Drosophila melanogaster: one gene and its partner. The protein of the gene in region 2 purifies or fractionates together with the protein of the main gene of each other region. This does not show direct contact. Each region holds a gene or a part of one and is shown on either strand. Other genes may lie near its edges. The genes, in order: Ankrd49 and Bdbt.

What was found.
Region 1: the proteins of Bdbt (region 2) and Ankrd49 purify together in Drosophila melanogaster (affinity purification with western blotting, with the first as the bait; one study listed by BioGRID). This does not show direct contact.

Annotation. Positions count from the first base shown.
Region 1 is NT_033779.5:14,998,796-15,015,546, forward strand, and holds Ankrd49 (Ankrd49), read right to left. Parts: upstream 8,637-16,751; 5' UTR 8,547-8,636; coding exon 8,411-8,546; intron 8,362-8,410; coding exon 7,850-8,361; 3' UTR 7,788-7,849; downstream 1-7,787. Other genes in the region: DCTN5-p25 (dynactin 5, p25 subunit), read left to right, coding at 7,030-7,077, 7,166-7,465, 7,523-7,744; NC2beta (negative cofactor 2beta), read left to right, coding at 9,123-9,674; THG (tRNA-histidine guanylyltransferase), read right to left, coding at 9,887-10,599, 10,655-10,802; Rnmt (RNA guanine-7 methyltransferase), read left to right, coding at 11,223-12,423, 12,481-12,563. UniProt on the Drosophila melanogaster protein: Required for regulating the establishment of planar cell polarity in the wing. Forms a complex with Bdbt which likely functions in the regulation of planar polarity by promoting the activity of Dco during planar polarity establishment.
Region 2 is NT_033777.3:21,103,907-21,120,790, reverse strand, and holds Bdbt (bride of doubletime), read left to right. Parts: upstream 1-1,934; 5' UTR 1,935-2,006; coding exon 2,007-2,867; 3' UTR 2,868-2,934; downstream 2,935-16,884. Other genes in the region: slmb (supernumerary limbs), read left to right, coding at 52-71; ppan (peter pan), read right to left, coding at 2,936-3,195, 3,247-3,674, 3,731-4,095, 4,158-4,487; Rab11, read right to left, coding at 5,407-5,540, 5,690-6,038, 6,724-6,845, 8,936-8,975; rtet (tetracycline resistance), read right to left, coding at 10,084-10,175, 10,234-10,539, 10,597-10,772, 11,066-11,139, 11,203-11,544, 11,741-12,184; Sec15 (secretory 15), read left to right, coding at 12,898-12,973, 13,038-14,155, 14,220-15,326; Tbc1d22 (TBC1 domain family member 22), read right to left, coding at 15,775-15,909, 15,982-16,205, 16,616-16,884. UniProt on the Drosophila melanogaster protein: Functions in planar polarity establishment and circadian rhythms by promoting the activity and localization of dco/dbt.

The DNA of each region.
Region 1 (16,751 bases), on a different chromosome or scaffold from region 2:
CTTAGTCTTTGGATTTAAAAAAGTATTATTCTGTGTTTGGAAAAAAATGTGGTGCTTAAAGCTGGCTGAAAAACTTCTAAAGTCGTATAACTATTTTTACAGCATGCAATTTATAAAGGAAGTATCTAAACTACTGAAATATTTACTTTATGTTAAAAATGCTTCGAAAAAGGTTTTTAAAACTGGTGTTTAGTTTTTTTTTTTTGCTTATTGGCAAACGGACTTCATCATAATCGATTCCCTAGCTACGAATAAACTTCCGCTACGCAGTCCAATGATTCATTCCCATTAAAATAAATATCTTGGGGCAAACCAATTCTTTTGACTGCTCTCACAGTGAATTCGTACACATGTTTAGTCACCACGAGTTCGTCGCCAAAGTCTTTTGTTCTAGCGTCATTTATATGCAAACCTATCACCTTGATGGGCGATAAAAACCAGAAAAGTCTGAAAAACATAAACAACAGCATCCCGGACCAGTGCAGCAAAGCGGTGACCACAAAGTTGAAATTAACGAAAATTCGCGCGGCAAGGTCAGTTCAAAGCGGTCAACGACTGCAGGCCGCACGGGAATGGCCAACATGAAATGCCCTTTTTCGAACAACAAAAATTTATCGATTGCAAGCAGTAAATAAAAATTATTCAGCAATAAAAGCGAAAAAAAAAAATTAAAATTAATCACTCGACAAGAGGAGATAACTTCTGAGCTACGCATAATGCGGCTACCGTTTAAGACTTAAATGAAAATATAAAAAACAGACACAAAATCCGGATGTGTCGCGATGCCTACGGATTTGGCGCGCCCAGACCGAGGACGGTCGTTGGTCCCTGGGGCCACAGAATCGCCGACGAAGTAGACCACAAAAAAAAACGACGGACACCGTACGTGTCCCATATCAGGAATGCAAACCACGCGGCGGTCACTTTCGGTTGGACATTGTTTCTGTTATTGCCGATTTTGGAACTGCTCGACTGACTCAGTTTCGGCGAACCTCCACTAAAAGCATTCATAACTCAACTGCCAGCTGTCAGCGGCAAAAAGAAGAAAAAAAAAAGCAGATACAAAATATCCCCAGGTTTATACCACGAAAAAAAAAGGGAAAGGGCAGTGTAATGGAAAATTATAATGGAAATAAAGCGAGTGCTGATGCTCTCGGAGTTACTTTGCAATCGTCTCAAGTTCAAGGTCTTCTCGATTTTGCCGTTCAGTGCGATGATAGTGCATTAAATGTGCTGCGATGGGAGATTGTTGTCTGTCGATGGAATGGTAATTGTAGTATAATTATAATGGGCTTAATGGAAGCCGCAGTGCTTGCGATGGCAAATAAGCAGATTGCTTTTAAAAATTATAATAACTTACTGGATTTGCAGGGCTTATGAATAAGCTATGATTAGTAAAATGTTGCAAACGGCTTAAGATTTTCTGTATTTTGTATTATTATTAATTGAGTGATAAAATAATATGTTTATTTCACGCTCCAAAAGGTTTACCCGAGTGAAGCGAACTATGCGTCACTAAAATTGACTTAAAACCAAATAAGGAAGTAATCGACTTGAATGTCAATTACAATTACATACGCACTCAGAGACATGCGCCGAGTAATAAATTAATCAAGTTGCGCATACGCCATGTAAGCCGGCCGACAGTCGCCGAAATTGAATTCAGTCGATTCAGTTGCCTTGATTTCAGCCCGACAAACTATAAACAAGCGAAATATACGTTACGCACAAATTAAATTCATGAAGTTCAAACTCAGAAATTCCAGCAAAAACAGTGGCTACCGACGAATTACGTGGCATGCGGCATGCCTGCCGCCTTTTCAGCCCCCGAATTCCCACATTTAATACATTTCGTTTTTTTTTTTTCTTTGGTCCGAGTGCTCGCAATGAGGAAGGTCAAGTGCAAGCGCCAAATGTGTTTTATATTGTTTTTCACATTAGTCTCAGCTTTTTGTTTAATTAATTTTTAATACAATTTTGGCCGGTGGCTTGTTTTGTTGACGAGCGCGTTGATGATGTGACAGGCGGCGGCACACACACACGACTTGGGTGGTTCTGGAGGCTAATTGTGGCAGTTGATGGAAGGGGGGCACTTAAAAGGTGCTCGGGCGCCACAGGTGCGACCTTGACGAGGTGGCAATGAGAAGAATTGGTAATTTTGAATTAAATAAAATCACTGTTTAGAACTACAATCCATCAAAAGTTATCTTCATTGATTGTATTTATTGGTAATCAAAAATGGTTTACTCTAAAACTTATATATACAAATGAGGAGTATTTAAATATAAATCAGTATATTTGAAATATGCTTACTTATATAAATTCTTAAAATAGCTCAAAAGTATTTAGTTGTAAGAAGTATGGCCAGGTTTTCCCTTGCTGATTGACCTCGGATGCGATACCCTTGCCACTAGTTCACAGAACCCTCACAAAAAAATTACATAGCCACCATTGACCGCCACTCTCGTTGTTATCGAATGTTTAAAATCGAATTTAATTACTTCCACCCACTAACAACTTCCGAGGCACACTTCGCACGGAAGCCTTGGATACAATAATAAGCCCAGCCATTGAGCACGCTACCTATATGGAAATATATGCTCATACAAACTGGAGTTTGATTGTCAATCATTGTCAATCAATTACCAAATAGTGGGCCACCCAGCGAGAAACCAAACGAATGTGACACTGAGTCGCTGGAAAACCTTTAAAGTTCAATCAACTGACAGACACAAGAGACTTAATCACCTGTTTATCAGCTAAGTGGGTTGGAGGGCTTATAAACCGATACCGATATCATATCATTTTATATTATATCATATTTTACCGAGCGCGCTGAAAGGCGAAAAGGAAGTGGAAACAAGCCGAGTCACAACAAGAAACCAAATTGAATCAAATTATATATGTTTAATACCCGAAATCCAGACCGATCCAAATACTGAGACTGAATCTAAATCGCTGCTCGTGGCTCGAGGTTAGCCTTGCCCATGGCATACAAAGCTGAAAATTGAATTTGGCTTATTTTTTAGGTCTCTCGTCAGGTTCAAAACTATTAGCGCCCGCATGCAAAAAGAAAAAAATAAAAAGAGTAAGCGAAGTCCAATAGAGCAATCAAAATTGGAACAATGCATTAACGTAAGGCAAATAAGCTACGAGAAATGCATCATGACATATATATATTTAAAGTATAGTTTTTAAAAAAAGGATATGACCTAATTAAAAGAACTCCTTGTCAAAATTCTGTTCATTCAAGCCTCTTGAAATGGCACTTAATTGGTCAGCACAGCAAAGATCAGCTGTCCTGAACTCAACAATGTGATTTACAACTATGTTCCACACTGTAGCTGCTGTTGTCAGCAATGTTGTTTCTGGCGTTGTCGTGCGTTGGTTTTTTGACAGTTAACTCTCTACTGGTTTTGATTTTTTCGTGTACCGAACGGGGGCCACTTGAAATTTGATTATAATCGATTTTGGCAAATAAGAAGTAAAAAAAAAAACGGCAAAAAGCAAAAAAAAAAATCACGGGCAATCGTTATTTAATGCGAATTCAGCCTCGGGGCAGAGTTAATGTTTTAATTAGCACAACTTGGGCAATCTGAGGTCGCTTTTTGGGGGCAAAAAGCAACAAATTGCAGCATGCCACGCCCATTCAAGCGTATCCCAGAGGGGGCTGTGGGTGGGAAATTCGTTATATACGTACCCATAATTTGTATTATAAATATACGCCACATCAAAAGCGCATTCATTTGTTGCTCGATTCACACAATTTCTCATTGCTATTTGTTTGGTCGCGCTGAGCTCAAGCATTGGCAACTCCAACTCCAAATCCAACAGAGTTATGGATACCCCCTCCCTCGCAAACCGTTGAGCTACTGTCATTGTCAGACAATCGTTAGTTAGTTCTTGAACTCGGCTTTTGAACTGAGCTCTCAAAACTTCGTTGCTAATCGCGAGCTACTCGTTTCGCGTTGGGATCTTGACATGAGGAAGCCATTTGGTCACCACATGGAATTGTAATGACTGTAATTAATAGAAACCAAAAAGTGCTTGGTCGCTGGAGAGCTGGAGGCGGCACTCCAATGCATATGGTTAATGGGGTTCTAAGGTAGAACCATAATATATCACGCAACACATTTTCTAAAAATTTAACTTTACACTTAAGGAGTCGTTCTGAGAAATGAAACTTACTTAATAGCTATGTTATTATAATTTCAATAAAATATCTATATGAGTCTCTAAAGAAGGAAACTTTAAAACAACTTTAGCGTGAAATGGGACAGTATGGAAATTCGTTGTGCTTAGTTATTATGTTAGTCACATCAATTATTAAGAGAATTTTCGGTGGAGTCTCAAAATTGGGTAGCCATTTATGGACAGAAAAGTGCATACTCAAAAGATCCTTGAATTACTCACATTCCGAGAATCTGATAGTCACCTTTGTTCTGTCAATCTGAAACTTAGTGAATATATGCAACTACACATGTGCAGCATACACACCAACATAGGAAATTATCTGCGAGTTGTCAATAGATGCATGTTATCGATCGAAACAAAAGACTTGAACAAAAAACTCGTTTCACTTGCGGGATTTAATTTTTTTTCTTTTTGTTTTTGTCGGTCAGCTGGGGGAAAAAAGTGAAAATATTATGCAACATTCTCAGACTGACTCTTTCACTCCAACTTACCTTGCGCGCATTGAATGCAACAAGTATTTTCACAATTTTGCTAATTCCAATTAATTTCATTTGTCGTTTCACCTTCATTATTGCATTATTACAACTCGCCTGTTCTTGGCCAAATCACATATATATATACACATATGTATATATGTAAGCCATTTGCAATTATTCAATTAAACATGACATGACTATCTAACTGGATAGCACTGGCATTGTTTTAGTTTCAGTGTAATTTCCATTCAATAATTATGCGATCTAGTGCCGCCGGTTTTGTCTCGGAGAAAACAATTCAAAAATTTTATAGCCATAAAGCCATCAAGATCAATGCGATCGTGAGCGATTGTCTTTTTTTGGTGGCGATGGGAAGGGCAGAGTGCGTGTTTCTTGATCTTGATTAGCTGGCCATTTAATAATGAGTTTTCCCAACAACAGCCACTTGATACAACAGAAACCAATTATCAAGGTCGCGGATGAGTTGGCTATTGTAAATATTTACATACACACACATAGCTCGCGGCCCTCCTTCGTGGGCTGCCCAAGGTCGAAATGTGGCAGAAGAGTTTATTCGATCGCTGTTGGACTAGTGTAAGGCAAACACTTGACTACACGTTCTACGACGAAGTCAAGACCTTCGCGGCCATGGACTTCTAATTGCTGGCAGGGAAAGTTACAAATATTACAGAAAATTACCTTGAGGTTACAAAAGTATGTACCTAGGTTGATTTCGGATTTCATATCTCCCTATATCTTAAATCACTTTATCGTTTAGATTTGCTTTAATCACCAGCATCGAGAAATGATTGAAGCTGCTTCGTATATTTAATCAAACACTTAATTAATAACCGATTCATCTCAGTTTCGCCTTGCTGAAAATCACACTTAACAATAGGCACCATTTTTAAATCCGAAATGAAACAAATTGGAATAATTTGTTTGATCAACCGATTGAAGAGTTGTTTGTGTGCACAACTCAATTAATTTCCAAACATTATTCAAGTTCAAGTTTATTAACCTTAAGTTCAAAAGTGCAAACACCAAACAGATTAATAGATTCCGATGCGGTTTTTCTCGCCGAAGGTTAAACGATTTGTGTTCTTTGCTTTTGGCGGATTCTTCAAAGCTTCAATAGACTGGCACAATTGTTTGCAGTAATTGGCATAGAAAAGCAATAATGGCAAAGTTCAGATAGTTCAAACCAAGAAGGTCAAGTGGGGTGGGGAAATTCATTGTAGCTAAGAAAGGCAGTTGTTCTTAAAAGTCTGAATATAACAAAAGATTTCTGCGCTAACAAATTTCGTTACTATTTCTCCATGTTTAGTTAATATTTTCGTAAAATCTGTTAAAGAATGTATGGAAAATGATTAAAAAAAAACAAGAGAGTCGAGTTCTCTGACTATTAGATACCCTTTACTCAGCCTTCTAGCTTTTATCTCAAATAGCTTTTATAGTTCCTGCGATCTCTACGTTCAAACGGACAGATCCTGATCAAGAATATATATACTTTATTTAGTCGGAAACCCTTGCTTCTACCTGTTACATATTATTTAACGAATCTAGTATACCCTTTCAACTTTACATAGTCTTCTTTATTGTTTAATTGACATTCTTTAAGCGTAGTTAAATCATATATGGAAAAGCCCGCAAATCCATAGCTTTGCTTACTTCTGCAAAATGTGGAGAGCCAAACGAAGAAAATAGTAATGAAAACATAAACAAATTAAAATGCTGCCAGAGCTGCCGCCGCTTGAGGCATTCGAGCGTGCCCCGCGAAGGTTAAGCCAATGGGCTGGGTCTCGCGATTATTAAGGAGCGCATTAATTGGAACTTCGTTGGAGCGTCGGACAGCGGGAAGTTAAAAGTTTTGGAAGGTCGGTGCGTCAATGGGAGGCGGCGGAGCTTACTGCGCTTTCAGCCAACAGCTGTGTGAGTTCAATTATGCACATTCTTTTCGTTCTGCCAGCAGATTTGCGCCTGAAGAGCAGCTGTCTAGATGTGCATCGTGATTTGAGAATTATGGCTAAAAGTTCAGGGTCAAAGTGGGTTAAACACCTGGGTTTTCTATGCACCCGCCAAGGCAGCTTGTAATTTGTAAAACTTCGCGTGTGTCTAATTAATAATTAGATGTAATGCCAAGCTCTTCAATGGAAAATCAATGGAATGCAACGAATTTGAATTCAAATTTGGCGCCAAGCTAATGTGGTTTAGGTCTTGACTTAACGCGTTACATTTGGTATTTTACCAACTATACACTGCGACCACACACATCAGCTGGTCGAAATATTTTCGCAAGTGCAGTTTCACTATTTTATTTACTTTACTTAAAAATAGTTTTTAAAACTGCTGATTAATCATGGAAATTCCGGATACCTACTACAGCAAAGATGAATACGTAGAGACGGCAAGTATTCGCACTGACTTCCGCTTTGGGATTCCATTTAAGCACTAAGAGATGACCTCATCATGACCAAAAAACTGATTGTTTACAGGCTTCGGGTAACAAAGTTAGTCGCCACACGGTGCTCTGTGGTTCCCAAAACATTATTTTGAACGGCAAGGTGATCGTACAGAGCGGCGCCATCATTCGCGGCGATCTGGCCAATGTCCGGACGGGAAGATATTGTGTGATTGGCAAGAACTCCGTCATCCGACCGCCGTACAAACAATTCAGCAAGGGAATCGCCTTCTTTCCCATGCACGTCGGTGAGCATGTTTTCGTTGGCGAAGGAGCAGTCGTCTCGGCGGCCACCATTGGATCCTATGTGTACATCGGCAAGAATGCCATCATAGTAAGCTATTACTTATTGTTATACCCTTGTAATCCATTTACTTTTACCATCTTTCAGGGCCGTCGCTGTGTTTTGAAAGACTGCTGTGTAATTGAGGATGGGGCTGTCCTGCCGCCAGAAACTACCGTGTCCAGCTACATGCGTTACACGGCGAGGGGAACCATCGAGGGTGGCCAGGGCAATCCGTATTTTGTGCCCGCCGCCATGCAGGACGAGATGATCAACTACACTAAGTCATTCTACGAGCATTTCGTGAGGGCTCCAGCGCCAGCCAGCTGAAAATCGTGGTGTCTACCAATTCCATCGACAGAAAACATTATTTATGAAATAAACATATTATATTAGTTATTCTATAAGTATGCGCATAGTTTGACTATTAAGTGATTAATCTATCAGTCCCGTTTCGCAGTCGTAGGCTTCCTCGCCGGACTCGAAAATGGGAAAACTCATGCCAGTACGACGGGCAATCACCGAGGCCAGTTCCTCGGAGTTGTTCTCCTTGCGCGGCTGGATGTATCGGTCCAGCAGAAGGACCGTGGCCGTATTCCGACAATTGGACACAGTGGCGGTTATGTGAAGCGGCGTCTGCTTGCCGTCCGATTCCGCATTTACATCGGCGCCAAACTGCAGCAGCAAATGGGCGCAATCCGCATTGTTCCACTTGCAGGCGGAGTGCAATGGCGTCCATCCCAGCTCCGTGCGGGCGTTGGGATTGGCATGGTACTGCAGCAGCAACTTGGCCATATCCACAAAGTTATTATAGGCAGCTCGGTGCAGCGGCGTGTATCCGTCGTTATCCTTGGCGTTCACGGTGTCTGCGTCCAGTTTTAGGATTTCCCGCACCTCGCTGATGCGGTTCTCGTTCACCGCCCACAGAATCATGCGTTCAATGCTGCCTATGATGATGTTTAATTAAACTATTTCTCTAAAATGTATTCTACTTACTTTGTGGGTTCTTGTCCTCTTCGATCAGTTCGTCGGCATCGTCGTCCCAGCCGCTCACGAACATTCCGCGCGGCACTTTGGCGTGGCGCAGCTTCTCCACCTGTGATTTTTCATCATCGGAATCGTAGTCCCCCATTTTGTGGTAATATATTAATAATAAGCCGGAATTTAAACAGCTCAACTTTTTGTTTTCTATTTCTCAAAGTGACCGTTGCTTAGCCGCTTAAGTACACTTAAAAAAATACTAAACACTTAAAAATATACTAAACGAAGAGTGGAGTTTTAAAAAGAACAGTACATTTGGTTTTTCAAATAAAAAAAAAAAAACTATTTATATAAATAATGGTAGGAATTATAAAAAAATTATTCTTTTATTTGAAAAGTCTGCCATTTAAAAAAAGGCTGTATTATTTATAATATTCATCAAAATCAAATTAATCAAAGATTATTAAGCCATTAAATTTGTGTTGAATACATAAATGATATACATCATTTTATATCATCATTTATATATTTTATTTTTAGCTATATATGCTTTATATAGTTCATTTCAATCAATTAATGATTTCATTTATTTACAAAAACAATAATTTTTCGATTACATTTTTCTGTTAGCAGTAAACGGCCACTCTAGCACACTATACTAGTAAATCCGAGAAAAACATCTGCTTCCAAGTTTGTTTGTTTGTTTGTTCCTTGAAACCAGGACGCCATGTCGAATCCGCAGGAAGAACTACTGCCGCCCAGCGCCGAGGACGACGAGCTGACCCTGCCACGGGCCAGCATCAACAAGATCATCAAGGAGCTGGTGCCCACGGTGCGGGTGGCCAACGAGAGTCGCGAGCTGATACTCAACTGCTGCTCAGAGTTCATTCATCTGATCAGTTCGGAGGCCAACGAGGTGTGCAACATGCGCAACAAGAAGACGATAAACGCAGAGCACGTCCTGGAGGCGTTGGAACGCTTGGGTTTTCACGACTACAAACAAGAGGCGGAGGCCGTTCTGCACGACTGCAAGGAGGTGGCAGCCAAGCGAAGGCGCCAGAGCACGCGCCTAGAGAACCTGGGCATTCCGGAGGAGGAGCTGCTGCGCCAGCAGCAGGAGCTGTTCGCCAAGGCACGCGAGGAGCAGGCGCGCGAGGAGCAGCAGCAGTGGATGAGCATGCAAGCGGCAGCAATGGTGCAGCGACCACCGCTGGCAGACGGCTCCGTTGCCAGCAAGCCAAGTGAGGATGACGATGACGATGACGACGACGACTACTAGTAGGAAATAGTCTTTCTATGAGCTTAGTGTAGATTTAATCTTAAAATATATGCCATAAGTTGAACTTTCAACTATTAGCTACTCTTCATTACGGATCATCCGTTTGTCCTTCACTCCAGCAGCCTGGGCACCGCATCCTCAATCTCCGAAACGACTTCCTTAGATGTATCGTAACTTTAATCTTTAAAAATGCAAGACTATTCGTTATTATATCAGCTGGTACCAGCCAGATTTTGTGGCTCCTCCGCCTCATTGTCATCCTTGCCATTTATTTGCATCTCCACCAATCGGGGAAAAGTTTGTGGTGCGTCGTATGTGCCTGGCACATATTTTCCCAATATTTCGGTGTGTTCCTTCCAGAACTGCGAAGATATCAGATCCTCGTGCAGCGGCACCACGGCCTGCCTGCTCTTCTCACCCAATATCACGCGTTTTCTCAGCAGAATCGTTCCCTTTCTGTACATTGCCGGCAGATTGTTGTAATTTATCCCGAATTCCTGGAAGAGCAGCTCATTTTTGTCCGCCGAAAAGGTGCCACGGAGTTTCGCCTCGGCTTGCTGGTTCGTCAGGCCTTTTTCCAAAACGAGTTTCCAAAAGGCGGTATTGTACAGGTTGTTCACATGCACATCGGCCTGTCGCCAGCTGAGATAGTCCTTTAGATTCTGCTCCGAAGGATACAGAACAACGCGACCATCGAAACACGGAGCATAGGCCAATGGCAGATTCATCCACTTGGACCATTGCATTACATAGCTCGAGGAGAACAAGCTGGTGACGTAGGTGAGCAGTTTGGCGGATCGTCGCTTGAACGCTGCCGTCTCTTTGCGAAAAACAAAGGAGTACTCATCACTTTGACCGTAGGCGAGGACAATATCCCGAAACTCCTGCATCACCGCCGTGGCAGCAGCATTCATCACATTGAGAGCTAAAGCGAATATTTAATGGGATTATTAAGAACTATAATGAGTGTTTTTTCTTACCATTTTCATCGTTGGGCTTTTCAAAATCGTGCGTCTTGGAGAACTTGTGGAACTTTTTGCCGTCTATTCGTATGACTATCCACACATTAGGCAGTATGCTGTCGTCCTGCTCAAAGGATTTAACGTACTCGAATCTGCTGCAGGCCATGCTGCGTTTTGGAAAATTCCGGGCAAGGGAATAATTCAATAATTTAACAAATTTATTCAAAGTTCCAAGCAACCGCATTTAAAAAGTTAAGAAATGCATGAGTTACCAACAGCTGATTGATGTTTTCCATTAACAGCACTGTTAACTAGTGCTTGACTAGTGATGGAACTTTTAAAATCTGTTTAGCTTTAATCTTAAAAGTAGCTAATGAGGATGGTTTAGAGAATATTGGTTTATAAAAAATTAATTAGGAAGAAAAATAAATTTAAATCTAAAATGTATATTTCTTATTCTGAATACTTTCCGCGCGAAATAACATCGAGTGCCGATAGCACTCGTGCACTCATTCCTAACTGACCCGATAACTTCGATAGGCAACGACTGTTGGTCATCCGGCAAAACAGAAAATTAATAGAGACTATGAGTCTTAATTACGAACAAAACGCGGCAGACGAGCAGTTCGCCCGCGCACACAAAGCAGTCAGCCTGTCGGACGACGAGGAGAGCGAGGGCCAAGCGGAGACCACGTCTGCACCAAATCAGGAGCCGCATGTTAGTAAATCACCGAGGGAGTACTACGATGAGCCTGGCGGGAAGGGCAATGGAAGTGGAGCAGATGATCAGGATGAGCCGGAAACGGAGGCTGCCAGCGGAGCGGCCAACACACATGTGGTGGCACACCACTACAACGAGCTGAAGGAGGCGGGCCGCAAGGATCGTCAGAAGTCAAAGATATTCTTCATGAGGAACTTTAACAACTGGATCAAGAGCCAGCTGATCAACGAGTATATGTCGCAGATTAAGCAGAACAAACGCATGGGTGATGCTCTCAGAGTTCTGGACATGTGCTGCGGCAAGGGCGGTGACCTTCTCAAATGGGAGAAGGCTGCCATCTCCCACCTCATCTGCACCGACATCGCTGAGGTGTCGGTGGAGCAGTGCCAGCGGCGATATCAGGACATCCTGCAGCGATCGGAGAAGTCGAAATTTGCGAATAAGTTTACCGCGGAGTTTTTTGCCTGCGACTCCACATTAGTGCGCCTGCGGGAACGGTATAAGGATCCTTCGCTTCAGCTGAATCTCGTGTCCTGTCAGTTTGCCTTTCACTATTGCTTCGAGTCAATGGCGCAGGCAGATTGCATGATGCGGAATGCAGCCGAGTGTCTGAAACCCGGTGGCTTCTTCATAGCCACAATGCCGGATGCCTACGAGATCATCCGCAGGCTAAGGGCAGCCGGTCCAGATGCCCGGCGTTTCGGTAACGATGTGTACAGCATTGAATTTGACTGCGAAACGGATCCTTTGCCGCTTTTCGGAGCCAAGTATCAGTTTCACTTGGAGGGCGTTGTCGATTGCCCCGAGTTCCTAGTGCATTTTCCCACGCTGGTCAAGCTGGGCAGAAAATACGGTCTGCAGCTATTGAAGCGCTCCACATTTGCGGATTACTACAAGGAAAATCTGCACCACGGGCGGCATCTTCTGCAGCGAATGTCCGGCTTGGAGTCGGTGCAGCCACAGCGCTGCGAGAATGATGAAGAGTTCGCCCATGTGAGTAACTTTCAGGGAGCACAGCGAAGCAGGTCGGTGGGAACCCTCTCGAAATCCGAATGGGAAGCAGCAAGTGAGTTTACTCAGCATCGACTTCTGAATTCCATTACTAAATAGCTTCTTATTTCAGCTCTTTATTTGGTTTGTGCCTTTAAGAAATGCAAAAACACCTGGGACACCAATGGCAAACCATTGTTCGAATTTGACGACTGATTATTGCCAAAAACATTCACGTTATAGACTATTATTCTGTACCCGTGGCTTAGCACTTTTAAAGTTTATACTCGAAAGCATGAACAGATTATTAATTTCAGAAAAGATTAGCTCCGTAGGTTACAATTCGTAAAACTAAGGGTATGTTTGTTTGTGTTCATAGGTTTCAATTCAAATTTTATTGTCCAGTCTAGGAGATATTTAACAAATTTACGAGAAAGCCACCAACCATCAAGCTACGAAATTTCAATGTAAATCGAGAATGTCATTTTGCTAATAAAAATTTTTAATTTAGAAAATTTTATTTACTATTGAGTCCGTACTATAGTTAGAAGAGACGTATTTATAAATATTACAGAATATTTCGTAAGCTAAATAATGAAAACTAATAAAATGACTTCAATGGAAAAATCAGTATTATTTACAATTAAATTCCAAACTACTAAATAACTGGTTAACTTTTGAATGGCCCTCGCTTGAGCCGCCTTTCAATCCGCCTATTTCGAAAGCTTTGATAAGAGGGCTTTGGCCAAGTTCGAAACTGGAAGTGAGATGTCGAAGAAAGCTTCGCAGGACGAAGCTCGCTGGCCGAGAGAGAGCGCACAGCTGTTGCTTTCACAGCGACGGCGCCTTTGAAGGACATCGGGCAAAGGTTAGTCCTGACGTTTACGTTGCCGGGTCGTGCCCGCCAGCGACCCAACCTGTTCAGCTCAGCTCTGGAGCGACCCCAACCAGTCGGTGGCGAAAAGAGAAAGCGTGTCGTGCCAGGCGCTCGATGCATCAATGAATTATTGTAGCTGAAGTGTAAATAAATATTTAATAACGGGCCGAAAGTGGGGTTGGTGTTGGAGATGGTGGTGCTGCCCTGGTTCGCTTTTTGATATGCTGATGTGCGATGGTGCTGGTTGGGGTGCCATGGGGGGGCATGGAGAAAATAGCGGCATAAATTACACCATTGATTGGTTTCGAAGCGACTGCAAACTTTATATTGGCCCAATCAGTTAGCTCTTTCTTTCATTATCGCTTAGGGCTGAGCACTTTGGCCGTCTTCCGGCGCTTTTCCTTGGCCTCGTCCTCTGGCCAACTTCTTGTCAGATAATTCCATTATTTAAAGTTTCGCTCATAAAAAACAACTTTGGGTGTAAAGTTTAAATTTGTTTTGCACATACTGACGCACAACACTGAGGACGACAGGACAGGCACGTGTTCGTGAGTGGGTGGATGGGTGTTGGGATAGGGATACGGAATGGTATAGGGCGACTACGCTTTTGTTTAAAGTAGAGCGTGCGTATTTATAAGGCAAACAACGGAGCCTGGCCGAGCTGTTTACGTTTACACACACACACACACGGCTTGGCCAGAACCACCTCAGCCCAACTCAGGCCACCATTAAACGTACTGAAACTACCTGAACCACCCAGACCAGCCGTCAAGCCGCCGCTTTTGGCCAGGTACTCTCCGCATGTCCTTCGCCACGACTCGCTTTGCACTGATTGGCCCTAATGAATCTTTTTGTTACCTTCTCCATGCGGCCGCCTGCGCATTGTACCATGCGGTCTATGTAAATTAGTTCACTTTTAACCCAAACATTGGGGATTGGCAGACATCCCACCCCAGTGCATCAAATTAACATTTTAAACTTTCAGGCGACTCGAATTACAAGTTTTTGTAGCCCTAAAGAATATGTTGTAATTGGGCGTCTGAAATTAGATCAAGCAAATCAGTTTGCTTAGTTTGTGATTTTTCATTTCTGAAAGTATTTATTTAAATTTAAACTTGTTTAAGATGCAGTTTCAACATGGAGTGAGCACTCACTACGATCGAGATATGTTTTCAGAGCGCGATGAGTTCTGCCCTAAAAGGACTCTCCTGAAAAGTATGCTACATAATCATATTTCAAGAAAAAGTTACAATCGATTGTAAAATACTTTAGACACCTTTGGGGTTGTTTTGTTTGCTTAATATTAATAAATATTATTTATATCAATACAATGACATAATACCAACAACATATATTTTTACCATCCGACGATGAAAACTAAAATCTACCAGCTGATCAAGGGTTAAGGACTGTGCCACAACTGCTGTCCAGGCCGAACTGAGTAATGTGCATATGTACGTGACTGCAATTTGTTTGTGTGGAAGGTAGTGTGTCGGTGTGTTGGTGCTGCTGGGCACTGACAAAGCGCAGGTAGGAAATGTAAGGACCATGGTACGTATACGCAGTGTGTGCAAACAGAAAACATGCCGCAATGTTTGTTTTGTAAGCCTGTCGAGGCAAGCGAGCGAATAAGTGTCTTTGCGTCTCTCTCTCTCTCTCTCTCTCTCTCTCTGTGTGTCTTTCCCCCTCGCGCTCTTACTCTCTTGGTCCTATTTGTGCAGATCATAAAATGCATGAGTGTGTGTGTGTGTGTGCGTGCCTTTTGACGGTATGTGCGTGTGTGTGTGCGCCTGTGTTTATTCAACCGCATGAAACAATGTGAAAAACGCATGCCAGGCGTGCGACTGTGTTGGTGGCTCTGTGTGAATGGCTGCGAGCATGTCTGTGTGCGCCTTCTGCTATGCTAAACTTTTTACAAGGATTGCCCCCGAAGCTGGTTGGCTTGGTTAACGCAACAATTTAACACAAAACCAAAAAGAAGGTAGAGCGAAACAAGAGAAGAAAAGTTGAGCGCACCGTGGGGAGAGGGGGGTGCGGTGGAAATAATAATAAGGGATGTATAAAAAATGAAACGTTCCACACATATTTGTGCATACCACACATACATACATATACATATGTGCCCAAGGACTTAGCGGCGCCCATTGAAAGGATGTGAAGATGATGAGCTGCAGCTCATCGCTCGGTAATCTTTTGTGGTTCTTTCCTGGCCAAAGAGAAACTTGAACCCTGCTCCTGCTCAATGCCTGAGTGTTGCCACATTCGTTGTGGTAGTTACTCTTGGCTCGGTCGGATGCATTTGTGCAACCACGACAGTGGGGCATCTACATTGCCAACTTGGGGCCGAATGTTGGCTCAGTAATTACATTTAATTCTATGGCTTGGCAAGGGTTTTGCTTGCGAATTCTATGCAGACTCATTGAATTCAAATGTCATGCCAATATGAAAGGGTTGTCAAGCAGTTACTTCCGTAATCTTATGCTTATTTAAATATACTATTCTTTAAAAAACTTATAATTTCATTTTAACAGAATATATTTATATATTTACAATAAAACATTATGCATTTTTTCTCTTTTCATGGAAATCCATAACAAGCCACAATCTTTTCAATTAACATTATCACACTATTTCATGTTGATTGCTGATTGCAGCTGTGCCTGCAAATGTTTTAAATCGCCCATTCAATAATAACTTTCATTTTATTGAATAGTTTTAGGAGATTACCATAACATAAAATAAACGTTCTATTCAAAGCAAATTCGCTAAATATTTCACTGAAAACATTTATAATTTTATGTAATTAAAACGTGAATTTAGAGTGAACTAGAAATCAAAATCAGAGTTCAAAATAATAGCTGGCCTATGCCAAAATAACATTGGAATACAGAAAATTCATAAATAAATCATCAATTTATCAATGCATAACAATTGCGCAATGTTAATTTTCAAACTGCTGTTTACCAATTTGCTCTTGAGTGGATTTGGTTTAATTAGTGCCGTTTCTGCTCTAACTGTCTATGAAATCAATTCAAATATCTAAACAATAAGTGCGTTCTGTAACCTATACGGCAGTGCAAATATAGGCCATAACCCATGCCCTCGTATTCACACATCTGAAAGTTATTTAATCCGCTCAGCAATTTCGATTGCCATTTATTCACTGGCAGAGTTCAAGACAAGTGCATTTCAGCATACCCGAATTCCACATGCGGACATAAATATTTGAGTAATTGATTTCCCAAGTCGACGATGGGAAAACTTCCAATTTCTTGGCTTGACTACTTTTGGGCCAATGCAAATGGTTTATTTTTGACCGCAGAATCCTTCGACTTGAGCGGACAGTTGAGGTTCTCGAACTAATTGCAAAATTGTCAATGATTTATTCAGTTGGCAATTAAGGTGCCAACTAACGGTGTGGCTGGCACGGCTATATCGATTTGAAAATATTCAATAATCCCGGAGCCTTGATAAGCTCATCAAACATGCACATGGCCATCAGCAGGGGGGGGCAAGTTTGTATTTAG
Region 2 (16,884 bases):
CATAACGATTTCGTTTTGTTTTCTCAATTTCCATTGTGCTTGTTGCTATAGCGGCCTTGATGGAACATTAACATTTTGTGCAACGGCAGCTGCGCGAGTTACATCTACAATCCTCGAGCGAAGGAGAGGAGGACGACGATGCGGACGAGGACGACGAGGATGATTTTGAGGAGGAGGATTCTAGAAACGATGCTGGCGCGTTTATGGGGGGATATGTTAGGCACCGGGATGCTGGTGGTTCGGGATCCGTCACCGGTTCCGGTTCGGATCCCGAATCGGATGACCTGGATTTCGATATAGATGTTGAGAATATTAATGATTATGATGAATAATGAGTGAATGGTCGTTAACCAGCAGCATATACATACACACAGCAGACTTGTTTAAACAAAAAACGATGTTGAACCCAAGATACAGCGATCTCTAAGCGTCTATTTTACACACTACATCCACACACACACACACACACGAAACACAACCACATAATATGAATTAAATGAAGTTATAAAAGCAAACAAACAATAAATGCAGGAGTATACCATTTATGCAGATATTTCGCAAAACTGGCTGTTAGGTTTGTCGTGTACGAATGAAACAAAAATGAAAGATGCAAAAACGGAAGGACAGAAAAAGTAAAATTATATATAAGTTTATGTAGGCGCTGTAATACTAATCGAGGGTCAGTCTTTGAATCGCCCTTCGGATCAGTGGATCGATCGATTGGGCGTTATTTTAAGTGTTTCTTTAGCTCAAATACACAAGTATCGCGTTTAGGCAGCTGCCGCCTCAAGAATCGCAGCAGGAATCTTCAGCGCGGCCAGAAGAATCAGTCTTTAGCATAAATGTTAGTTAGAGTTGCATCATTGAAATTGGCAGAGCGCGTTGCCGTTTTGCACATTTGTAACCTATTTTACACGCCTTTTGCCTAATGTTTGTGTTAATTGTAAAGTAAATCTAAGCCTAGTATCTTATTGGCAATTGTAATCTAAGTTAACCGAAATACAAATATTTTAATTGAAAAGTTAATTGTGTAAAGAAGGACACGCAGCAGTGTCTGCAACTGGAAGTTGCACATCTTTCGAGCGAAGATGAATTGAAAATGGATCCATTGTACTGCAATATATAACCGATTCTTTGATTGATTGATCTATGCTAACTATAGGTTTTAGATATACCGATGTATGTAGAAAATAGCAAATTCCCAGGCAATTTCAACAATATAATTATATGTATGTATGCCGTTCGTTGATTGTGATCAATGGATATTTTACTATGTGTATTGCTATTTGTAAGTTAAGTTCCAATGCTATACTTGATCTGGATCACGATCACGCCGCTTCCGCGTTAACTAATGTATGTACATAACGTTTTACTTTAACAAAAGTGTTAACAAAAATATGAACACATACTCCGGATTATGTAAAACTGTTAGTGGAAAGAGGGCAGCATGTTAAACGATGGCCGAGCAACTGCTAGTGCGCGAATGGGCTTAGTATATGTAACATAACTAGAAATAATAATAAATTGTGTATAAATGCTAGAAAATTGTTTATCTTAAATGGACTCACCCAATTGATTAAATTTAGTGAAGCGGAAATGGGTAATAAAAAGTTTTACTAAAGAGCCATGAGTTACAATAAATGCATGCTAACATTTTTGTTTTGGAATAGAAAGATTAAAACCACTAGAATTGAATTGGGCGGTTTTATAATATTATATAACCGCATATTATTGTATTTCCTAAGCTCTGAAAATTTTCATATTGTTGCCCAATTTCTCCTTCGCACTCCCACCAGCTGCGTACAAGGTATCTGATAGTCGACTAACTCACTTGTTTTGCAAATAGATGCGTAGTCCATGCATTACATTTATGAACTAGTGAGAACAAAGTATTTTTTGTGAAATTCGCGATAGGTACATTTTTGACGGTTTTCTGGTCACATCGCCAAATCGCAAACTTTGCTTACTGCTAAATTTCGAAGCTCCCAATTTGCAAATATTCCAAAATGGACTGGTACGTGGGCACAGAGTGGGAGGACAAGAACCGTGGTCTGGCCAAGAAGGTAATTGGCCTCCAATTCACCGAAATGGACAAGCCCACGATAATCAGTACGGTGGAATTCAGTGTCAACAAGAAAGCCACCAACTTGGGAGGACGACCTAGCAAATATTTGGTCAGCGATGAGTCCGCTACGTATCCTCAAAAGCACAGCCTGGAAATGGGCACCAGCCTGACCGCAGTGGACTGCTACTTGGAGCTGCTGCTGCAGCAATTTGTGCCGGGTGAAACGGCAGCCTGTAGCATCACGACCAAAACCGGCGAACGAATAGAATTTGAACTGAAGCTGGAGAAAATTGTGAAGAACACTCAGGTGGAGAAGCTAAGCGCTGCAGAGATCTATGAGGTGGCACTACGTCTCAAGGAAAGCGGCGTGGCCACCTTTAAGACGTTCCCGAAATTCGCCTTTGATTACTTTGTGCGTGCCGCAAAGTTGCTGATCACCTACAAACCCTTCGATAAACTGACCAAAAAGACCAATGGCATCAACGGCCAGGCGGTGGAGGAGCTCTTTATTCAGATACAGACCAACCTGGCCGCCTGTTTGCTGCAGGAGAAACGCTATGAGCATGTAATCTACCACACGCAGTTTGTGGAGACGGAGGAGAGTCCCAGCGAGAAGAGCATCTACCGGCGTGCACTCGCCTACTATCACCTGAAGGAGTTCGCCAAGGCGCAAGCCACCATCGAGCGAATGCCCAACTACGAGGAGAAGCGAGAGTTCAGCAAGCTGCGCGACAACATCGCTGTTAGCTGGAAGGATAGCAAGGCCCATTACAAGGAGGTGGTGCAACGTATGTTTAGTTAGTTCCCATTGATAACATTGCGATGTCGTGTTAACCAATGGTCTTTATAAAATAGCTTATGTTAAATGTACTACTTTGATTTTCTACTCTTTCTGTGGTCAAACTTGGCGCGCTTGTTTTTGGGATCGAACTTGGCTCTCCTGTTCTTGGGGTCGAATTTGTCCTTCTTGTCCTTGCGATCGAACTTGTCCTTACGATCGTACTTGTCCGTGCGCTCAGATTTGTCATTCTTGTCCTTGGTATCCAGTTTAGCGCGCTTGTTCTTGTATTTCATTCCGCCGCCCAAACTAGGCCGCTTTCGGGAGGACTTCGCTTCCATTTTGAACAGTTCTGCAAAGGAAACATTAGTTTATATTCTACGCAGCATGTAGCACAACTCACCTTCGTCTGGTTCCTCGCCGACTTCCTCCTTGTAGTACTCTGCATCATCCTCGGGATCGCTGTCAGTCCGTCCCTCTGCCGCCCTCTTGGCAGCCCATTTTTCATCCTTCTTAAGCTTCAAGTTGCGGGCACGGTTCTCTGCCTGCTCCTTCTTGCGCTGCTCCTTCTGCTTTCGCTTCTTTTCGACCAGCTTGCGCAGGGTTTCCTTTTCGTCCTCTGTCTTGACCACATGGTCGTGATACAGTACTTCGCCCGTCAGAAGGCCCTCTTCTATTTTGATGAGCTGCATGGTTAGTCGAGGTCCGATCTCGTGTAGCTTTATGGAGCTCTTTTTGTCCTCCAAGTTGCCCTTGCTTTTAAGAGTCTGTGCCAGCACCACATGTGATTGCTCATCATCTTCGGCCTCTGATTCGGAGGCATAGCCGTCCCTGAAAATCAATATTATGATTATTTGATGGAATGAGAACAAACGGTCATTTCCTACTTGGTCACAAAGTCCACGACTTCGTTGCACTTGCCCAGATTGGGTACCGTTCCTTTGACGATTTTCTGGACCGCCCGCTTTAAGCCAACCGGCACCACCTGCACGGAGTAGTGCCGCATCTCGACCAGCTTCGTGTCCGGATTGTAGGAGAACAGGACGCAGCGACGAATGGTGCCGATATTAACCGTGGCCAAGTTAATTGAGGGGAACATGTTTTGGAACGTGGTGGCCATCAGCTTAAGGTGCTTGCCATCGCCACTGAAGTTGTTCATGATGACGAGCGGAGCGTGCTTGAAGTGATCGTTGTCAATCATCTGCTTTTTGCTTAGCGAGATCACATCTCTGGCCAGGGTGAACTGGTGAACCTGACAGAGAATAACTTCGCGGTAAAATATCCAGTATAAACTAAGCGATGAAACAAACAAACCTTGAAAGTCAGGGAAGGACCGCGCGGCAAGCGGACCACTTTGAAGGACAGCTGCGTGGAGGCCTTGTTGAAGATGCCCATGTGCGAGACGTGGAAGAAGCTGCTCAGGCTGACAAAGTCCTTGATGCGGTTCATCCGCTTCTCGCGCAGATTGCTGGCCGTAAAGGGCTCCATAATGCGGCGGAAGTCCAGGGTGAGGTCCGTGATGTACGGACAGGCGAGGCCGCGATGGATGACGAAGGAGTGCGGCGCCTCCACGATCTCGCTCGGCTCGCTGGCCTTGAAGGCCGCCGTGCGCGTCTTCGGATGCACTTTCTTCTTACCGCCCATGTTTCAATGTTTTTGTTCACTTTTCTCCCGCACGTGTATGGATCAGTGTGGCTGCTCGCGCGGAAAATACCAAACACCCACTCCGACGTCTGCCTTTGGTCACTCTAATCCCATTTTAAATTTCGATTTTCCGCCCAATTGAAAGCACTTCTGTTTTATTTAAATTATATTTATTTAATCACACTTAACATAGCAAACACAAATGATGTTATTTCGTTTCATTTATGCATTTAAAGTTTTACAACTGTTTTTGTTTGATTTCTCTTTATCAGCTAGTTTTACCAAGTGGCCAATCGTTTAAAATGTTGCGAGAAACCGAAGAAGAAAATCCGAGCTGCAGTGCTGTGGTAATGAATTTGCGTTTAAGTCGAAGAATTTCCGGTTGTTTGTTGTTGTTCTGCTCGCGAAATTACAACTATATATTTATGTTGCGAAAAATTAATAATATTAATATTTTAATATTAGCATATATGTATATTTATATAAATTATAGTTCTACAGCTTAAACTGAATTTGGAGTGTTTAGTTTTGCTTGCTTTCTTTCCGCGGCGGTCGATTTATGCGATACTCATGGATCTGTATATATATAAAACTTCAGTTTAAACCGCAGTTAACTACAGCCGGATGTTGTTGCTTTCGATTCTTTTGCTGCTGCTGCTGCTTCTGATGATGGTGGTGGTGTTGGTGGTGGAGAGTGGCGGCTCAGATTTGAATTATCAATTTATGCGCACATGACAAACTGTGGCTGACAAACGCATAGACATCTTGTGCGGTCCATCGGGTGTACGCTGCTCCTGATCTTGGTGTTGCAGTTCTGGCCGCTGCTGCTCCTCTTGTAGTCGTAGTTGTAATTGCTGTTGCTTCTGTTTATGTTGCTGTTCTGGCGGTTGCGGGGAATAGCGAAAATTGCTTGGGGCGGTCACTGACAGCACTGTTTGCGCACATCGGCGGTGACAGTCGGCTTTACGTCGATGGGCTCCACGTTCGACGGGCGGATGACGTCGCCTTCCGGCGGATCTCTGATCTGTTTCTGCGACACAATGCGATAGATCTCTGAAACGGGATTACGAGACATCATTAGTCGTGCTTCGTTATCATTAATCTATTGACTTTCAATGAAGCGTTTAATCTACAGTATTTAAATATTCTTAAACGATCGATAATTTGAAAGCAGACTAGCTAAAATATCCTGAACGACCCACCTGTGAGTATGTTCTGGAATGCCGTTTCAACGTTCGTTGAGTCGAGGGCCGAGGTTTCTATGAAACTCAAGCCGTTGCGCTCGGCAAACAGCTTCGCCTCGTCCGTGGGCACGGAGCGCAAGTGCCGCAAGTCGGACTTGTTGCCCACCAGCATGATGACGATGTTCTGGTCGGCATGGTCGCGCAATTCCCGCAGCCACCGCTCCACGTTCTCGTAGGTCAGATGCTTGGCAATGTCATAGACGAGCAGGGCCCCCACGGCACCGCGGTAGTAGGCAGAGGTGATGGCGCGATAACGCTCCTGGCCGGCCGTATCCCAGATTTGCGCTTTAATTGTTTTGCCATCGACCTGCGTTGGATGCACAAGAAGGATGAAACAAAGGACAGCATTAGAATGGTGCCAGTAATTGGCAATTTCGCCACGAAATGCCTGCGGCGCATTCGCTTTGAAAATTAATATACAAGCACTGGCATTCAGTATTCACACATAACCAACATAAATTAGAGCTTATGGATAAGCTTTTAACTCTAGTAAGAGAACCCAATTTTTGAAATTTCTTACACTAGTTAGAAAAAACGCAAGTAGCGTAAGTTATATTCATTGAACCCATTTGATATACTAAATATTAAGATGACCTACTAAGCTACTTCGAAAAGATGGCACAAAGTATTGTTTAACACAAATCCTTATACATACGTAATATATAATTGTTATTGACCACATAAATTTATTATTTCAGCACAAGTGACAACTATGATGTCAACATTTTGGCTAATCCCGTAGGATGGCTTTTGAAATTATGCAAGAAAGCCAATTGGCAATCCATTATTTAGTGAAATTCTCGACACTTACTCAAATTGAACAAACTTTTCCCCCCAATTTTCCGATAGACGCCTCAACTACGTGTCCTCCCACCGAAACGCACACGCAAGTTCACCCGTGACTTCCCCCACTGTGGGTGCGGTGCGGTAGATGTGTGGGGGTGGAGCTCCATGGGCCACTCCACCCTCGAATTCTTGGCCAGCGTACTCACCTCTATGCTGCGCGTTGCAAACTCAACGCCAATCGTCGACTTGGACTCCAAGTTGAATTCATTGCGCGTGAAACGTGAGAGCAAATTACTTTTGCCAACACCGGAGTCACCGATAAGGACAACTGCAAAGGATTAGAGGGAATTAGTGACATCGACATTGGCATTGGATAATCGAAGACCCCCAGTTGCATAATTTATGTGGGTGTGTGGTGTGGCGTGGCGTGGCATGGCCCCTGTCTTGTGTTTTACGGCCGGACAGAATGGTCGCTGGTGGCCCGGCTAGGTCATGTCCTCCTTTCGCCGCTGGCACGGCGCACCAAGGTCAGCGAGTACATAAAACCGCCATGCTCGGGGGATTTCAGGCCATGGAAAGAAATGTTTTATGATTGGGCCAGTCGACGTTAGGGAGTTCGTGTTATTGTGCTTCATTGCCGATAGCAAACATTTCTTGGATAATTGAGTGGCGGATATTTGAGGGAGCAAACAAGCATCCCAAGTTGATATGCTACCCGATAAAAACTATCCACTGACCTTTTTACGACTCCATTTCTTTTTGATAAACTTTCTTATGTGCGGCCAGAGTTGTTGGCTATAATATATATTAACTGATATCTAGACACTGTGTTTACTGACTGTCTGTCTATTAGTTTCCATTTTTGACACCCTTTTCGGACATTGTTGATTCAGCATGTTTGCTAATCCATTCAGAAAACAACAACTATAACTCATCAAACACCTTTTCGCTCTATCGCTATGGTCATCGCTGCACGGAGAAAATTCAAATAGTAAAATGGTATCATATGAACACTGATTCTTGAGTTCGAAGTTTCGATTGCAATGCCATTAAGATAGGAACTAAATATTTGAAACGACTTTTGAGCTAAGTCCAAGTTTTTGACTTAATTTAGATAGCTAAATTAGAGGGTATAGGGTTTTCTTTCAGTGTGGACAGCTGGGAGCAGCGTGGTTACAGTTATCAGCGAGAGAGCTGAGTCACTTTGTTTTCTACTCTCTTTCTCAGCGCTAATAACGATCTTTAAAGAGAAATTGCACTTAGTTAAGCGGATGCGATGAGAAATTAAAAGGGGAGGAGTGGTAATCGACGGTCATTACTTAGTAGTGGGATTGGCTCGAATAACCCGAAACGGCCCATTTTCAGTTATGTGATTATGCGCTTATCGGTGAGTGGAATTCTTCAGCAGTTATTGGCTGTGAGTCATGTCCGTTTAATATTGTTTCATGTGTGAAATTTGAGGCCTCATCATGCATACCGCACACTGACGCATTATTATGATGACTTTTTTTTTAACTTTTTGTATACTTGACCCAAAAAATACGGCAGATTAAGTTTTAAATATTTTTTTAATGACATTCAACAGTTGCTCAGCTGTGATAGCTAGCAGAGATTTCCAAGCGCAATTGGAATTTATGGCGTAGTAGCAAACGAAGGGAACAAAGAAGAGCTGAGAATTTGTGACCTCTGTTCATACATATCTACACATAAACGGGGGAAGATGCGGGATAAAAGTCTTGTTTTCTACCTGCAAATACATCATTTTGCTCTACTGTGCTTCAAACTTTCAATCGAGAGCGGGTGAAAAAGAGAGCGCGCGTGAGAGAGAGCTACTAAACGAAGTTACAAGAAACCATTGCAAAAGCCAGCTGTACAGAAATCATAATACCCACACTCTCGCTCTATTTACTGGATATCTAATCACTTTAGCATTTCGAGTGGGTGGGCAAGCCTTAAACCTACTTTACAGAGCGAGCGATTATAAATACGATCTGCTTGGCTTTTGTATGCAACGTGGCGAGACCAACGGCACTGTAATGACAAAACAAGCAGTTAACGGCAAAGTACGCGTACTCCAGTCCGAAAGAGTACCCCAAAGAGATGGAGATAGGCAGAGTGAGAGCGGGAGAGCCACCAAAGGGCATCCAACTGCAGCAGTAGCAACAACAACAAACTCGGGGGGCGTACTTCTTATTTTGGGAATTAATGACACTCACGCAAACAAACACACCACATACCATCACATGAACTTTGGGCTCTTCGAGTGCACTTTTTGTTATTCTCCAATTAGTTTCAATTAGTGCTATTGAACCACTGTCTCTCACGGCAGGGAGAGGAGAGCCTGGAAGTGCGGCTCCTCCCCTCCTGATCAACCTTCCGCGATCTTCGACCAGCGGCTAGTATCATGTTTATAATTACCTTTGAACAGATAATCGTACTCGTCTTCTCTTGCACCCATTTTGCTCAATTTGTTTTGCTATCGCTCGCTCGGTTCGATATCCTTTGGAAATCCAGTTCCGTCCTTTTTGTTTTGTGTGTGCGGGTGCTAAACGAAATCCAATAATCCCTGCGCGCCGCCGATTTCTTTAATGCGTTTGTCGTCGGCTCACACACTTTACACTTTTATTTGCAGTTGTAGTTGTAAAGAAAGAGAAAAGTGTATATATCAGTATTTAAGTGGCGAAATCGGTTGCTCTTCCAGCTCGGATGCGTTCGAAAATGCTGGCAGGACTTTTCCGGCAATTGGAGCAGTATTAATTGGAGATTTGCAGCTGCTTGCAGCGCATTTATTTGCAATTTTCTCTTACACGAAAACTTAGTCACTCCCAATAACGTCACGTTATATTTCCAACGAGACTAGAGATGTTGAAAAATATCGGTACATCGACATTATTTCGGCGATACTTATCGATTTTCTTAATGGCGATGTAAGGCGATAGTACAATGTCACTTCTATTTTTGTTTATATGAACATTGTTTTATACTCAAAAGCTTTAGAATTAGAATTAAATTTTTTCATAATTAAAACACATTAGGTCTAGAAAATAAATCTAATGTTTGTTTCCTATTTAAAAAACTTATTTGTTTTATTTTAAAACACCAACATACTTATATCATTATCGATGTTTTCACATCGACTTGCATCACTAAATTAACGAGATGGATGTTTTAGAGTTACCAGACGGTACGACGAATTATCATGAACTGCTCTCGTTTCATCCCGACAAGCCTATCGTATTTTAAAAAAGCTGAACACATTTTCTAGGGATTATCCCTAGCCCATTTAACTTATTTCCAACTCAAAATGTCTTGAATACTTAAAACGTTCCAACCTAAACAGAATCGTTCTCCCAGTAGCAGTAACTGTTTCTAATATTATCTTATTAAAAAAATTAATTAAATAGAAAACATTTCGATCCCAAGTAAAAACCCCCTGCTTACAAATCAGAGTAAAAATGTGTTTATTTTAATATAAAATACTTGTAAAAAACGATAAATTAAGTATAATGTGCAGCTAATACTTCCGTTGATCTCTAGTGAGTTTAAAAACTCTATTCCTATTGCACTTAAATGCGAGCGCGTTGCAAGGCCATGGCTGGATAAATGAGCAGAAGTCCGCCGGCTATATAGGTGATCCTGGAGCCAACGCACCAGAAGGCTATTAAGGATTAAAGAGTTTAGAAAAGGTATAATCCTAAGACAGCTGAGGAGCTCACCAATGCATCCCACCACGGGGCCCAGAGCTCGAGCCAAAGCTCCCAGTGAGCGGAATATGCCCAGTACTGAACCCTTCTGGTCATCGTTTCCGTATTTGGATACGAGGGTGGTCAGACAGGTGACAGCGAAGGCTGTGGAGATTGCGAACAGGGTCATGCCGGCGTACAGCATCCGACTGCCCTCGGCTAGGCCGACTACTACGAAGGCGGGTACAATCAGGTACAAACTGAAGATGGCATAGCCTTTGATCTTCGCCTCGGGCAGCCGTCGGACCACCGATCCCTGCAGCAAAGTCATGATTACACCTAGAAAAAGACACAAATTTGATAGGGAATATTGTAGATTATCAACTTGCTCCATACCCGTTGTCAAAAACATCTTCGCCTGATCCATCGAAGTGTAACCGAATTTGTGGTACATCAGAAATGTGACGGTGAACTCCAAGCCGGAATACAGAAAGAGATACAAGAAGTATACCAGGCCAATGGATCGCAGTGCCGCAATGTCTTTCTTAGGCACATTTTTGATGGCAGCAAATCTGTCAGTGGGAGAATTCTTTTGAAATATGATTGTAAAATCCAGACATAATCATTGGTAATAATCTTCTAGCTAACTGGACTCAATTCCCTGTAACTACAATTAATCAAAAGCAATCTAGAATTTACTAACTGATAAGGCAATCAAACAAACGTGTCCGAGAACCCGGCATGATAATAGTGTCTATCAAACCAGTCAGGCAAGTCCGGGTGGCTTGCAGTTCTCACCGTATGACGATTTCGATTTGATCACACGACAGGTTTTCGAGACATGCTAATTAAAACATTGAATTACCTAAATATGGCCGAAAAATTGAGCAACTGCAGGCCATAAGACAGTGCAGATGATATCTCCTTAACACGTTTCTCCTGCGAAAAGGTCAAACAATTAATGGTGTTGGGAATATATTTAATTTAGCCAACCGTACGCACCTTGGGCAACGTTTCCCGCAGACAGCAGGCCAGGACCACAAGATCTCCAACTGCCAGGCCAAACGCCAGCAGAGAGGGCAACACAAACCAAGTACTTCCACTTTTATCGGAGAATATGGCGAACAGGGCTCCAATCATGGGCCCCACAATAAAGCCCAGCGAGAAGGCCACACCCACAAGGGCCATACCGCGTCCACGGGTCTTAACGCTGGACACATCCGTAATGACGGACATGCACAGGGATATGTTGCCCTTGCTAATTCCGCCCACGAAGCGGGCCAAAACGAACAGGGCAAAGTTGCTGGAGCAGGCCCAGATCAGATAGGATAACGCAATACCACTCTATAGATGAAAGAAGACGTAGCTTAAGGAAGGTTTACTTATTTGTGGCTTAGCTAAGGAGTTTGAATTTGACGAATTCCACGCTTTTGGATTGAACTCGTAATAGCATGAAATGTTGACCAAGCCAAAAAGAAAACTAACAAGACTAGTTTAGTGTTTAGTGCACATTAAAGCATTGAGCACTGGGATTACCTACCGCACAAGCCAGCAGGACTGGTTTCCGTCCGTAGTAGTCCGAGAGTCCTCCGACAATCGGACTGGCCACGAACTGCAGGAAGCTGAACATGGAGCCGAGAAAGCCTCCGAATAGCACCGATATGTAGCGATCCGGGGCGCCCAGGAGCTGCTGGAACCAGCGCACCCGATCCGTGAGCACGGCATACAAGCCGGAGCTGTCGTTCTGGCGATAGTGCTCCAACAGCGAGGGCAGCAGCGGCAGAATGATGGTGAAGGCCAGTAAGTCGAAGAGCAGCGATACGAAGATTATGTATATCATGGGATCACTCTTCTCCGGCTTTCCATTCTCCGATGCTTCCTTATCCAGCGCTTTATTGTTGTTGTGATGGTGGCTTCCGGTTTGGCTGTGGCTTTGCTTCTCCATGGCAGCGGTTCCATTGTGGCGACTCCGTAGGTCGGCCATCTTTGCTGATTTCGGGTGTTTAGCTTGTGCCGTGATTGCGTGCGTGTACGGGTGTTACTGCAACATAACTGTATCAACGGAACCACAACTCCACCGACAACTCTTGGCCCTCTCGAGAAGCGGCCAGCCAAAGCGAAGCCAAAGTGAAAGCTGAACAGCAACAGCTGTTCCAAGGCGGCCTATAACGAGCAGACGGCATTCCAACCTGTTGCTTGCTGCGGATATTTGAAATAAGGGCGCCAAAATGAGTTATTCAAACATCTGTAATTAATTACTTTTCTTATCAAAATTACCAACGAATATTATGTTGGTGAACATTACTAATAGCATAGGTTTAAGTTGTAAATATTTAATTAATTTATAAATATTTTACAAATCATTGTTTCCTGCTTAAATAGTTAAGAACCGGATTTTGATATACATATATAAATTAAGTTTATGATTCGGTAGTTTTCGCCTATTTGATTTATTTATTTTATTACAATCCTAGTGATAATATCTTTTTAAAAGATAATGCAGTCAGATATTCTCTGACACAACTTTGTATTATAATTTAAAACATACCGCTTAAAATTGTTATCGCCTAGTATCGAAAGTCAAACCTCGATAACACTTAGTAAATATTCGATATACCATACCGATAAGTCGGCGAAATAATTGCTCATTAAAGTTTGGTAAAAAGTTGTTTAGAAGAGAAAAAAGAGCGTTATAAGATGTCCAAAGTGACCGTGCAAGACATTGAGGCGGTGGACGACTACTGGGGACCAACATTCCGTTCGATCCTTGAAGGTGACTGCGAATAGAAGCAATTGGCACACTTTGTTTACGCCCATTTTCCTTTTTTCCCGGACAGGCAACAACACTAAGCAGATTGGCGACCAACTGGAGCAGCGGATACGGAGCCATGACAAAGAGATCGAGCGGATCTGCAATCTGTACTACCAGGGCTTCATCGATTCAATTCAGGAGCTGCTCCAGGTGCGCACGCAGGCCCAACAGCTGCACAACGAAGTGCATTCCTTGGACACGTCCCTTCGCCAGATCAGCGCCTCGCTGATTCAGCAGGGCAATGATCTAGTGCGGGCCCGTCAGATCGAATCCAATCTGGCCAGCGCCATCGAGGCACTCAAATCCTGTCTGCCCGCATTGGAGTGCTACATGAAGTTCACACAGCAGGCAAAGAACAAGCAGTACTACCAGGCGCTGAGAACTCTGGAGACTCTGGAGACGGAGCACCTAACGCGCTTGAAGACACACAACTACCGATTCGCCACCCAGATGCAGATACAGATTCCCATAATCAAGGAAAACATCCGTCGCTCTTCCGCCTCGGACTTTCGAGAGTTCCTCGAGAACATCCGGAAGTTTTCACCCCGCATCGGCGAGCTGGCCATCACACACACAAAACAGCTCCAAAAGCGTGATATCAACGCCATCATTGCCGAGCACATGCAGCAGATGAATGGCGGCGAAGCCGGCGGAGCAGGTGCTGGCGGGGATGATGATGGTGCCAACGTTAGTGCCCAGGATCTCATTGACTTCTCCCCCATCTACCGCTGCCTACACATCTACATGGTGCTGGGTCAGCGGGAGTACTTCGAGAAGGACTATCGTCAGCAGCGCAGGGATCAGGCCAAACTGGTGCTTCAACCGCCGCCCAACATGCACGACAATTTGGAGGCCTACAAAACGTACATCTGTGCCATCGTTGGCTTCTTCGTGGTTGAGGATCACGTTAAAAACACGGCGGGCGATGTCGTGACCAGCAGTTATTTGGAGGATCTGTGGTCCAGCTCGTTAACCAAGTTTGTCAACGAAATCAGCATGAGTTCTTCGTCCTGCACCGATCCTAATATCCTTCTGCGCATTAAGAACCTCATTATGCTGTCCATCAACACCTTTAAGTGCTACGGTTACACCGTGAACATCCTCTGGGAACTATTGCACAACATGCGGGATCATTATAATGAGGTGAACGTTAAGAAATTCTATAAGCCATTCTGTTGTTTGTAAAACTCTTGGCTTTCCTTTCCAGGTTTTACTGCAACGCTGGGTACATGTGTTCCGCGAAATTCTCGACAAGGAACAGTTCCTGCCCATGGTTGTACAAAACACGGAAGAGTATGAATGCATCATCGAACGATTCCCCTTCCACTCGGAACAGCTTGAAAATGCTCCGTTTCCGAAGAAATTCCCCTTTTCGAGAATGGTGCCGGAGGTTTATCACCAGGCCAAGGAATTCATGTACGCCTGCATGAAGTTCGCCGAGGAGCTCACCCTATCGCCCAACGAGGTGGCCGCCATGGTGCGCAAGGCGGCCAATCTGCTGCTCACACGAAGTTTCAGTGGCTGTCTATCTGTGGTGTTCCGCCAGCCGAGCATCACGCTGACGCAGCTCATTCAGATCATAATCGACACGCAGTACTTGGAGAAGGCAGGGCCGTTTCTGGACGAGTTCGTGTGTCACATGACCAACACGGAGAGGAGCGTATCTCAGACACCATCGGCCATGTTCCACGTGGCCCGGCAAGATGCCGAGAAGCAGGTGGGCCTACGTATTTGCTCGAAGATCGATGAGTTCTTCGAACTAAGCGCCTATGACTGGTTACTAGTAGAGCCGCCGGGAATAGCCTCCGCCTTCATTACGGACATGATTTCCTACCTTAAGAGCACCTTTGACAGCTTTGCCTTCAAGCTGCCCCACATCGCCCAGGCGGCCTGCCGACGCACCTTCGAGCACATTGCAGAGAAGATTTACTCGATCATGTATGACGAGGATGTGAAGCAGATTTCCACGGGAGCACTCACACAAATCAACTTGGATCTGATGCAGTGCGAGTTTTTTGCGGCCTCGGAACCTGTGCCTGGTCTAAAGGAAGGAGAGCTGAGCAAGTACTTCCTACGTAACCGTCAGCTGTTGGACCTGCTCATTCTAGAGGAATGGAGCACGTATTTCCATGACTATGGCAAGCAAGAGAACCGCTACCATCTGGTGCAACCGCAGTCCATTATTGTGATACTGGAAAAGATCCGCGAGGCGGACAAAAAGCCAATTTTCTCGTTGGTGCGAAAGAATGACAAGAAGAAGCTTTTGGAGACGGTGCTCAAGCAGCTTAAGCACATTGCCGATAGACAGAATTAGAAATATCAGGCTTGTAGTTAGTCGCTTTAAGTCCTTGTTGAATTCGTGTAATCATAAACTATAGCTTTTCATCTTTATTGTTTAGGCTAATTTGAATTTTCACATGGAAAAAGTATTTAGTTCTCATTACATTTGATTCGATTTGTTTTTATAAAAGACAAATTTCAATTGAAACAGCTCGACCCGTTGAACGTGTAAAATTGTATTTTGAATTTTTGATTCTTATGTACAAAAAGCGCAGAACTTTAGCGGTTGCCTACGTACGGATTGTTGATAAATACAAAACGAAAACGACATAGAATGAAAACAAACGGAGAGGAACGTCTAAATAACAAATTGTATATAATTATTAGATGTATGTAGCGTACGTGTATTGTGTAGGTATATTCCGCAAATCGTAATAAACTAACTTCTAAGTTACGTATATGCGTTGTTTGTGTTGCTTTTGTCAACTCTTCGTCTCCAAATGCTTGGGCGCATCCGCATACGTGAACTTCAGGCGGAATGCCTCGGCCAGCAGAACGTTGATTTGTCGATCGGACCAGTTGTGTGTTGGCAGATTTTGTAGCAGCAACATGAGGCCCTATCACATAGCAAGATGGCAATGATTAGTAGACGTTGCAGGAAGGGAAGATCTTTTCGTCTGGAGACTCACCTGGAAATCGTTTTGTTGCATCAGCTGCTCCTTCCAGTGCAGAAGGAATGCCGCGCACACGTACAAGTGGAACAGGGCAAAGCCGTCAGACTCTGCGAGATATGTGTCCCACAATCGGATGGTGCAGTGCAGCGGCAGCTCGCGTGTCAGCAGATTGTTCATCCAGCGAAATGAGAATTGCAAGTAGTCGACGCCATGTGCCTGTAGATGACGATGTAAGTTCACTGAAAGCACAAATTACAATTTATTATCATCACTCGGCAATTGTAGGTTGCATGTCCAATTGGCTTATCTAGTAATTATTTTTATTTGTTCCGAACATTTGCGATCTTAAAAATGTTTATACGTGTCATAGCCTATTGACCAAGAGCTATCTTACACCATATGGCTTCTGGAAAAACGTGTGTAAATATGTAAAATTTAAAGCATCCTTGGTATCTTTGACAGGGCACATCAAAATGGCTTGACTTTGATGAGGCTTTTCTTTGCTTAGGCATTGGGCATGGTGCTTGCCTTCCAATTTATCTTATCACAAGAGCATTAACATATCTCTATCTATATTTGATCACTTTTATTGTAAGGTAATCTTGATGTGGCGTCTATCTACGGGCAAAGGTAAAGCATTCCCACTCACCGTCAATGCGCTGTATCAGATCCTTGAGTTGGTTAACCTTCTCCTGTATGCCCAGCTGGGCAAAGATGTAGTTATCCTGAATGCAGTCGAGAAACTTAGATAAGCACCAAAACGAGTCCGCCTCGATAATGTTTCGAGTCTCCTCGGGCAGCGTGGACATGTCGTACTTTTCGAGATCCGTATTCGGCGTCAAGGCCTCCTGTAGAAAGACGATAAAGAAGGGCGTGACCAGGTCGTTGATGCCTTGCACGTAGCCGGAGGCAGGATGG